Linked DNA regions of Drosophila melanogaster. The protein of the gene in region 1 purifies or fractionates together with the protein of each later gene. This does not show direct contact. Each region holds a gene or a part of one and is shown in the gene's direction. Other genes may lie near its edges.

The links.
Region 2: the proteins of PAN3 (region 1) and Gyf purify together in Drosophila melanogaster (affinity purification with western blotting, with the first as the bait; one study listed by BioGRID). This does not show direct contact.
Region 3: the proteins of PAN3 (region 1) and SmB purify together in Drosophila melanogaster (affinity purification with western blotting; one study listed by BioGRID). This does not show direct contact.

Annotation. Positions count from the first base shown.
Region 1 is NT_037436.4:3,069,223-3,072,981, forward strand, and holds the start of PAN3 (Poly(A) specific ribonuclease subunit PAN3), read left to right. Parts: upstream 1-1,910; 5' UTR 1,911-2,085; intron 2,086-3,324; exon of another isoform or gene 3,325-3,538; intron 3,539-3,759. Other genes in the region: CG32486 (uncharacterized protein), read right to left, coding at 940-1,317. UniProt on the Drosophila melanogaster protein: Regulatory subunit of the poly(A)-nuclease (PAN) deadenylation complex, one of two cytoplasmic mRNA deadenylases involved in general and miRNA-mediated mRNA turnover.
Region 2 is NC_004353.4:865,289-869,047, reverse strand, and holds the start of Gyf (gigyf), read left to right. Parts: upstream 1-2,022; 5' UTR 2,023-2,072; exon of another isoform or gene 2,073-2,078; intron 2,079-2,753; 5' UTR 2,754-2,781; coding exon 2,782-3,117; intron 3,118-3,175; coding exon 3,176-3,346; intron 3,347-3,405; coding exon 3,406-3,700; intron 3,701-3,759.
Region 3 is NT_033779.5:10,424,955-10,428,291, reverse strand, and holds SmB (small ribonucleoprotein particle protein SmB), read left to right. Parts: upstream 1-1,664; 5' UTR 1,665-1,795; coding exon 1,796-1,798; intron 1,799-2,167; coding exon 2,168-2,764; 3' UTR 2,765-2,809; downstream 2,810-3,337. Other genes in the region: KdelR (KDEL receptor), read right to left, coding at 483-1,121; Wdfy2 (WD repeat and FYVE domain containing 2), read right to left, coding at 3,020-3,300. UniProt on the Drosophila melanogaster protein: Plays a role in pre-mRNA splicing as a core component of the spliceosomal U1, U2, U4 and U5 small nuclear ribonucleoproteins (snRNPs), the building blocks of the spliceosome. Involved in germline establishment and development.

The DNA of each region.
Region 1 (3,759 bases):
CGAAGCCACCCAAACAATGGATAAAATCCTGGCCGTCCATCACAATACTATACAGCACACCTGGACACTCTACACTCTGCTCGGATTGGTAACGTTCCTAGCAGTCATCTTATGGCTGCACCGACGAACGAAACACATCGTCCACATCCACGAGGATCATCACGTACCAATCTACGCGTCATCCATACCTTCGCTATGGCCGTCACTTCGAACTGGGGGGGGAGGAGTTACCACCCCACCCCCTAAACCCCCACGCCTCTAAACAAATCATCGGACACTCAACCGGGAAGACGGCAACTGGAACACCGCATCCGGCCGAATGCTGACATTCCGGCCGAATGCTGACATTACACAAAAGTCGCACTGCAACATTGTCCCCAGCTAGCCAGCCACATGCCGAGTCGGCATGTTCATTATGCTTACAATTAAGAACCTATGTACTTATGTATAAGACGAAAACGGAGGACTCGAGTAGCCACTCTCTGACAATAAACTTCATACTGATTTTGAACTTCAAGAAAGTCAGTCGTATTCTTTATTGGAAATCTTCACACTACAACTATCTGCTGAAACTTAAAAACCTTCATACATTTACACATCATATCTTCACAAAAGGCTCCACCCTCGATCACGGACTTAACTCCCGCCCTCGCTCCCCCTCGCACTCTTTCAATGTTTTCAAGGCGAATAATGCAAGAGCGCCCCAGCTAGACGTCTCGCTCTCGCACAGCTGTGTCTTGCTAGGGTGGAGAGAGGGAGAGAGGTGTTTTACTCTTACAGCTGAGCTGCCACGATTTGTTTGTATACAGAATGAGGCGCACACACACACGCGCACTTGCTGTTTTTCTTCTTTCGCTTTTAAAGCTCTTACTTCCTTTTTTTGATTCTAGTTTACAAGGGCTTATAGTTCAAGCCGCTGTAAATAATCCAAAAACTCACCTGGTACATGGCCGTCTTGGGCAAATCCAGGCAGACGGCACAGCACAGGGCATTGGAGATGCGGTGGGCCAGCTTTTCGTGCATTCCCGAGGCGGCTGCGGCACTGGAAAGCAAGCTGCTGCCGCTGCTGCTGGTGGCACCACCGCCCCCTCCGTCCAACAACTGTTTCTTGGCCGGCGGTTCTCCGCTGCCCTGCGTGTCCAGCGGCACGCCCACCACATTGCCGCCGCCCACCGACGAGGAGGACGACGATGTGGAAGAGGAAGAGGCCGAGGAGGCGGAGCTGGTCGTGGCCACCGCCTGGTTGTCGCCCAGGAGCGGTAGGTTCGAGGACGACGGCGGCTGTTGGACCGCCGAACTGGAGGATTCCACCGACATGATTGGAAATTTTCTTGGAATAATGTTTGTTGTGTTTTTCTTTGCCACTCGCTTCGTACACAAACTCCCACACACACGACCACTAAACTACTACACACACACAAGCAATACCCAGTTTGCTCTCTCTCTCTTTCGCTCGCACACTAAGTATGGCACTTTCTTTCAATTGCCACCTTTCCCCGCTGTCCGTGTCGTGTCGTTCTCTTCTGTGTTCTTCCGTTCTGTTCTGTTTGCAAGCTTTTTGTCCGCCGACACGTCCGCTCGCCAAAAAATTTGTTGTCTTTCTAGAGAGTGTTGTGCGGTGTGACCAAATCTTATATTAGGCAAAATACTAGTATAACGTATCGATGTTATTGGCAAAGCCTATCGATGTTTTTCTATTGTCTGTGTTTCTCCAGCCCTGGTTGATCGTTAGCAGGGACACCATCCCCTTTACAAAGTAATAAAATAACAAATATTATTAAATTAACCATTTCAAAATAAAATAGCATTAAAATAATATAGCAAAATCTGCCTTCATATATATAATTTTACAAGTATATTATTGAAAACGAATCCATTCGTGTTTAATGTGCTGCCCTTATATCCGGCAGTACGGAACTCGTCACTCGCGAGATGCGGTCACACTGCTTGCGGCAAACGGAAAACATGTAAGAAATTAAATATTGTGATTTTGTCTTTAAAATGTACAAAAGTTTGACAAAACACAAACGGCAGGTTCTTTATGAAGTCACCTCTCGCAAAGTGAACTATGACTGGTCAGTGGAGGTACGGAAAACGTGGATTAAAGAGCGAAAAATCGCAGTTTTCTCAGCAGACATTTTTGTATCACTTCGCTGTGCGCTGTGTGTTTGGCATTTTTTGTGTTTGTGTGTGTGTGTGCAACAGCGGCATCAATTTGAAAAATAACAAAAACAAATCGTTGGCGTGTTGAACAAAAAACTATACGTATTTGCTATCTGGCTTGCGTTATAAGAACCATTTGGACAAATTGCGTCTTAAAAATTTGGTGACCAAGATGGCTTCAATTTCATTTTCGGTGGTGAATTAAAAACTTTAATGAAAATAAAAACTTAATGAATTGACTTTTAATTCACGTGCAATTATTATGAAAATTTTTGAAAATTAAAATAAAAATATTTCCAAAAACGTTGTAACAAAACTACACTTATAAATTGGCTTTTGGCTTGCTTAGTGAACTTAGTTAATTATTTCCAGCTGTTCCCACTCAAAAAACAAATCGTATACATATGTGTTCTTATTTCCTTTGCTCCTGCTTTTTCTCTTCCCCTTCTTTTCGTTCCCTTCCCCTTTGCGTCCTCTTCCCCTTTTCCTAGCCAGCTGTTTGTCGCGTTCCACAAATATGGCTGGAGTGTGGATCGCGTTTGGAGCCCAGGCTCCCACATTTCTCTATGTGGAACGCAACCTGTGGCCAGCTGTTGGGTCCTGTTGAACTCCCCCCAGCCAAAAACTTACATATGTATATGTATTTATTTTGTGTATATATGCATGTGTGTATAACAACGCCAATTGCTAGGGTTTCTGCAAAACGTCCTGGCCACTTGAAGGTGAAGTGTTACAATACCATAAAGGGGTTTCGCCATTTTTAAAAGTTATTTTATTACATTATATTCAATAATGGAACTTCAGTAGCGTGTCAAAGGATTTCTCTTTGAAAGAATACGTATTTCATATCCAGCATTTATCAGCTGAAAAACATGAGGGACTTTATACAATCTGTTAAATTTCTTTGCATAAAATGATATATATGTTAATTAAAATTATTAACAATAGCTAAAGTCCATGTAACCCCTTGAGCGCGGATGTTTTCCCAACACTCCTCGAATGGAATCCACATCCACTTTGTTGCACACACAGCTGGCAGTTGTTGTTTTTATCCGACCTCCTGTGCACACACACACACAGACGGACGTACATGTATACAACACTCGGGGGTCGTTTGTGGACTCCATTTGGCTTGGCTGTTGGATCTTCTTTGCGTTTTCTTCATTCGTGCAGCGCCAATCGCGCGGTGTGTGTGTTGCGTTTTTCTTATTTGCAAAATCGTTGGAAAATGGTAATGAAAATGTATACAATATAGCAACAGCAGCTCCTTTCAAGGAAATATCCTCATTAAAGTAATTACGGTACTGAAAGCAATTCAAAAGCTAACAATGAAACAGGCAATTAACTACACAATATGTTGGCTTAGGTTCAGTGTGTATGTATTTTGGATGGTGTTAAATATAAAACTCTAAAAATATGAGTAACCAAGTGCGAAATGAAAAAAAGTGTGGAAAACGTAAGCAAATATGCGCGCAATTGTGTCTGTATATGTGTAGGAAAAAGCGTCCTCGTACACCCACACAGACTCACTTTGGAAAATTTAATGAAATCCAAGCTATACCGCCCTCTCACTCCCACTCACTGTTGCGTTTCGGG
Region 2 (3,759 bases), on another chromosome or scaffold:
CTTGCCTACTATTTATTTTACGTGGGGCGTGTCGTTTGAATAGAGACCTCAAATTGATATATCTACGAGGCTATTTTTCGTAGAAATCGCGTCTTAGCCCACCACCCTATGAGCGCTTCGGTGCGACTGTATATATTTGGGAGCTCCCACACATGATTAGATTTCCTTTCTGTACTGTGAAGGAGACAGTAATCCGTTACTACTCCATAATATCAAGGACACCATGTTATTGTTCAAATGTTTAAAAATGTTTAAAAATTCAAAATTCATGTTTATTTAAATATTTTTAACACCTACACCATATGCATATCATTCGATTTCTGGAGGCATACTAGTAATCTTATAATTCTAGTCCATGATCTAATATTATAGCACAATAAAGCTAAATTAAATAACTACTTCCATTCTTAATATATTTATCTTTTTTGTATCATGGCGACTTCAGCGTGCCGAACTTCACTATTTTCTTAACAAAATTAATAGTTCAGAAATTTAGCTTAAACCATAGAATTATATGGGGATTCAATCAACTCTAATCTGGATAACCGTCCCATTGTTACTTATGAGGTTCAAATTTAATATATATTTATTTGTCTTTATCTTGCACTTAATGGGAACCAACATCAGGCTTACATATTATGCACTCACCCTGTCGTTGTAACTGTGTTGAAGGCCTTTCCACGTTGGTTAACGACGTACTGTAGGAGATTATATGTATAAAGTTTAACTGCCTTAGAAGCCGTTTTCATCCTTGCCGAGATAACGAGAAGCCTCGCCTACTGCTCGCCATTCCTTCTCATACTCCTAACTTGGAGCAGGCTGAGATCCTGCTGTTGCAATGATATTTTTTCCCCCACACGCAGGAACGCTCAGAACGGGTGCAACTGACTTTAGGTCTCGTTACGAAGTCTGCGTTTTTGGTTTACATTTTGAAATGACCCTTACGCTAAATTAAAAGCATTATAAGCGATGCGTTAAGCGCCCGATCTGGGAACAGTGCCAAAATTTCAGATGTACTCACTGCCTCGAAACGTGGTAAAGATTAAGATCGCTCGAGCTTCGCTGTTATACGATTAAGGTATCCGAAAATCCTTCAGAACATGGGCATCAGCGTTATGGGCGTCATATCGTTTTCAGACAAATCACATGCACCATTGGCGATTTTCGTTTCCAATATCTGGGCGTTCATACGTACGAACAGACAGTTATACAAAAGACAAAAGGGGTGCGTATACATCGCAGCAAATTTTTGACACATACCCCTCACTTCATGACTTATGTAAAAAGACCAAAATAATCACAAACCAGGTATTCATTTTGGATCAAACCAGACAAACGTGGTTATGAAAACGGTTATGAAAATAATGTAACCATATTAAAATTTATATATATATATATAAATATATATATCCACTACTATATATATATATATATATATATATTTAAATATATACATTTGTATTTATATATTTATTCAAAATAAACTAATACATCGTTTACTTACACTTTACTATTTCTACTGTTATGTTATAATACTGAAAAACTTGAACTTGAAATGAAAATCGACTGCTTGTTAAATATAAAATTATTAACAATTCCGAAAGACTAAGTTTCAATACAAAGCTAACAACAAGGTAGGAATCTAGCTTTGGCAGTGATAATAATTAAATAATAATATTAAAGCAAGAATTCCCGTTACTCAACTTAAAGAAAAAAATCAACACATAGTTAGTGGTCGTGGAAACATCGTCTGCGTCTATATCTATAGAATCAGCATGCTTTAAGTTCTAGTTCTTATAGTTCCTGAAAGCGAGACGTTCTTACAGACAGACGGATTGGTTGATTTAAAGATTGACACTTATGCATTCTCTAAATCCCGGTGCTTGATGTTGCAATGTGAAGACAAGGGTGATGTATCTGTCAACTAGTAGTAGTGGAGCTAGTGTATAAGAAGCAAAAGTGGCAAGAATACCCCTGTGCTAAATTAAATTGGAAGCTTGACATATCGCAAGACGGCCACGCTGGCCTTGCTCTATCTTATGTTGGCGTTGGTATTTTAAGATATCTCGGTGGTACGTGTAAGTTGAATATTTTTACGAAATTCAATTTAAAAAATTTTTTTAGGATGTGCAGTTATAGTGGCTTGATTTTATTAAGATTACCAGAAGAATTAACTAAACAATCTTTAAAATAAAACACACCCGCCCAGTGTGATAAAGTCACACAAATCAAAAATTTGTACATACATCACTGTGTGTCTGTATGCGTCCAGATACTTACGAATTTTTTTTACCTTTTAGATCTATATTAGTTCTATTAGTTCTATATTTCAAACATGAAAGCTCGAATCAGACATTTCAATTCTATAAACATGTTAATTTTAATGTGTGATGAGGGTGCATGTGTATTTCGCGTTCGTGTGTGACAATCAGTTTGATATTTTAGGTTAGGTTTCTGTGTTGCTTTTATATTATATTATTTTACTTTTACTATCCATTCTGTAAAGCTCTGGTAAGTTTTTTTTTATCACTAGTTCTTAACTAAGCTTTAAAATAAATCCTTTGTTGTACTGTTTGCTTTGAAAAAGACTTGAAGCTGTTTGCTTTATTTATAGAACTTGAACTGTTTGAAAAATAAACAATTGTGCACAGAATCATAAAGCCATTAGGAGTTTAACAAAAACACTGAAAATTTGATTTCATTGCCTTTCTTACAAATAAATCAACCAAAAACTTTTTTGAACTTATTGTCAGCATAACATTAAACAAGAGGCAAATAAAAATGACAGATTCAATGAAATTTGGCCCGGAATGGTTGCGCAATATGTCAGCCGAGCCTTCGGGCTCTCCCAGTACCTACAACGTTGGTAATGCAGCTCAAAACAATTCGATTGGAGGGCACAACCTGGGAAACAACACGGCGGCATCCGCTTCCCGTAATCTATTTCCAGAATACCGGTACGGACGCGAGGAAATGCTGTCCTTGTTCGATCGGAACTGCCTACTGCCGCAGATCCTGCCATCGTTCAAAAAGCTCTTCGTGGAAAAGGTTCAGTGCCCTCTTGCACTGACACCGAGCTCCGAGGAGGACATCAACCAAAACTCACTTGGCAATAACGTATGTGAAGTAATTTGACATGAGTTTTAGAACATAATTTACTTTTCTTTGAAACTAGTCTCGTCCTGCCTGGTTGCAGCGCTCGCCCAGTGGATTTGGTAGTGCCTCCCGAGGCTCTGGACGTGGTGGAACCGTTGACCGGGGACGGATGCGCGGAAAATCGGCCTATCATCCGATATACCAACGCCCAAGCGGTCTATATGATGAAAGCTTATCGGTTATATCAAAGGTAATTGCAAATACGAACTAAATAAGGAAGTACGATTAGTTGTTGATTTTTTCTGCCAGGCCGAACGCACATGGAGCGACCGCAACGGAACTGGAGATTCTGCGGCAACCACCACCTCCACTAGTGGCTCTGGTGCTCTAGATTGGAATGGAACTCCAAGCTCAAGTCCTCGAAAAGATTATTCTAATAATCATCGCAACTTGGAAAACTGGCGACGAACACGTAACGAAGATGGATCCGGTGATGGTCCATCCTCCAGCGGTTCCATGAGCGGACCCGATATTGCTGGTTGGCGGAGCGGTGTCGTCGGTGGAAGTACAAACGCAGGTTTTGGTACCAATAGCCATCGGTGGGGTCAGTCAATTACCTTTATATTATTATTTTTCATTTTTACTCCTACACATATGAGCACA
Region 3 (3,337 bases), on another chromosome or scaffold:
AGTCGACTTAAGAGCTATTTAATGCATAACTTTAAATTCTTAATTAAACAAAGAAATCTATGACCTCTTCTGTGATACTATTGCGAATCAGATAAGCCTCCGCGCAAAAGAGAAAACATTTGTTTCGATTTTGTCAATTAACGTTATCTCTTACTGGAGTAATGATTTTTTTTTTTAATATTTTTGGATTCTAAAATTTGTGAGTGCAGTTCGGAAAACGGAGATTAATACATTTGTTACATTTTCAATGTACGATGTCGGTATTGCATAGTTTATAGTGTACTTTCGATTTTCGGTTTATTTCTCATTAAATAATTACAACTTAGGCGCTCCCCTCGATTATGTATCTTTTGTATAATATGAACGAAATACGCGTTGTCAAACGGGCCGTGGATCGCTCGCTTGTTTACTCTGACGTCGATTGATGATGTGTGCCGACAAAACACAAATGTCCCACATCTATGCACTTATCCATCATCCGCTTATGCCGGCAGCTGGAGCTTCTTGCCCTTAAGAACTTTGGTAATGTATAAGTAGAAGAAGTCGCAGTACAAGACGGTCTGGACAACTCCGGCGAAGATCGCGATAAGGTCGTAGTGCGACTCGACCATGTACCGGTAGACCCAGTTGAGCAAGTAGAGTGCACGGTACGATCCCAGGGCGAAGAGGTAGTGGCTGGTGATGGACTCGGCCTCGCCGGTTCTGCTCACTAGGAACAGCTGCGGCAGAATGGCCACCGATTCCAAATAGATCGAGAATGTCCACAGCACTTCCATCACGGTAAACTCATGATTGATCACCAGCGAGAGCAGGGCGCACGGCACCAGCAGGAATTCGATGCGGAACGAATCGTGATTGTGGTCATAGGTGGCCTTAAACTTCACGTACATCAAATACACGGTGGCACCGGACGTGGCCAGGAACAACACCTTCATCACCGAGTTGTACAGGCTCACGTAGGTGGTGAACAGATCCAGGTAGCGCGTCAGATAGACCACGGCGAACAGGATCTGCGACTTGCCCGATATTCCGGCGCACGAGCGGGTCTTCCATATCTTCAGCAGCAGTATTATGATGGCAAACACATGCGACAGATCCCCAGCAAAGCGAAAGATATTCATCGTGATCTAATCCGCCGACTTGGCTACTTGGCTGCCCGGTTGGCTGTTTGATTGTTCTACTTCCTTTCGCTGCGGCTGCGTCACGGAACGCACGCCTATATGAAAATGGGAGTGTATACTATAGCAATAATGGCGGCATTCAGTGTTTCAACAGCTGCATACGTTACCAAAATGACTTTTCGCCTAATTTGCCAACGAGTAGAGATGTGAGGGCTTTGCCGCTTCGGAAAAAAACTTGTCAGAATGTCGGCATAAACAATGACGTGGCTGATGAATAAGAATAAGTTTGATAACATGGCCACTGCCTATCGATATCGATAAGTGCCGCCACATGATTTTTTTAATGAAAATTCGACCATCTCTAACGAAAAAAATTGAGAAAAAACATACTGATTCAAATTTTTTCTTTTTTCGTTTTTTATCATAAGATTTAAAAAAAATTTAATTTTTTTCTCTTCTTTTGCTAGGGATAGTCGAATGTTTGTTTAAAAAATCATGTGGATTATCAATAAAAAATTTATATTCGATAGGCTCGATTGAAAGACACCAGAAAATGCTGACCGCCGCACACGCCACTCGATTTATTCTTCATGCCTATCGAAAAAAGCCGTGGTGAGGTTCCGGCATCTGTATTTTATTTACAAGCGATAGAATTAACATAGAAATCAAATAAAATGGTAAGTAAAAACACTGTTTTAAGCATCTGACTGCAATGGTTAAGTTTTGTTTAGTTGTATTAATTCATAGATTCTTACTTTCGCGGTTGCGATTTCGTATTTACATAGGCATACATACATACAAACATGCATGCGAATAAATAAAACAATTTGTTTTGGCTAATTAACTATTTTATATTTGTTTAAAATTATGATTTTTAGTGATCTTCGATATTACGCTGAGATTTGCTATTTCAAACTCTGTGGTTTATTAAAATTTTTATAAATACCGGCTTTTTTAAAGGGTCGAAATGGTTTACAAAAGATGGCGCGACTTTTATGCATGCTATTGTATTTCACAATTAAATCCTTTGAATTCCTTTATTTCAGACGATCGGCAAGAACAACAAAATGATTCAGCACCTGAATTATCGGGTGCGAATCGTGCTGCAGGACTCGCGTACCTTCATCGGTACCTTCAAAGCCTTCGACAAACACATGAACTTGATCCTCGGCGACTGCGAGGAGTTCCGGAAGATTCGCTCGAAGAATTCCAAGGTGCCCGAGCGCGAGGAGAAGCGCGTGCTGGGCTTTGTATTGCTGCGCGGCGAGAACATAGTTTCACTGACGGTGGAGGGACCACCGCCGCCAGAGGAGGGCCTGCCCCGAGTTCCCATTCCGGGAGCAGCTCCTGGTCCGGGAATCGGTCGCGTGGCCGGACGCGGAATGCCTATCAACTTGTCCGCCGTGCCAGCGGGTCTCCAGGGTCCCGTGAGAGGTGTGGGCGGACCCGCCCAACAGCACATGGCTCCGATGGGACGAGGAGTGCCACGAGCACCGATGATGGGTGCACCGCCACCGGGCATGATTCCCGGCGGCATGCCCTCGATGCCAGGAAACATGGGACGCGGTGCTCCGCCACCGATGCGCGGACCGCCGCCCAGCATGATCCGTGGAGCACCACCACCGGGCAGGGGTGGCTATTAAGTATAAAGTACAATCTAATAAAAACTCATTTAGAAAACACCACTTAATCGATGGATTCGTGTATTTATGTGTTGAATGTAAGCATACGTACATACAATGATTATTGCTTTACATCAATTATATGAGAACCTAAGCAGCAGGGACTGGATTTGGTCGTTGCCAGCCACATCGTTCGTTAATTGGGTGTTCCAGTTAAGACCGAAACGCCTCGTGAATGATTATACCTTTGGTACGTGCGTGTGCGTACAGGATGTTTTATGCCCAGATGTTGGAGAGATCCCAGATCTTGATGAGCCTGTCCTGGCCCACTGTCAACAGGCGCTTTCTGTCCTCGTCCAGGTCCATGTAGACGATCGAATGCTTGGCGTCATTGAATGAAGCCAGCGAGGGGCGCTCGACTGTCTGAAGTTGTTTGTAGCACGGATCACAGGTACGCACATCAAACTCGAAGCCCATTATGGGTATGTTAATGCGATTGGTGGAACAGTTGTCGCACACGGCTTTGCCGCAGTGGCGACAATGATGCTGTCGTATTCCTGACAGTCAGAAATTACTTGTAAAACAAAGAGTAAC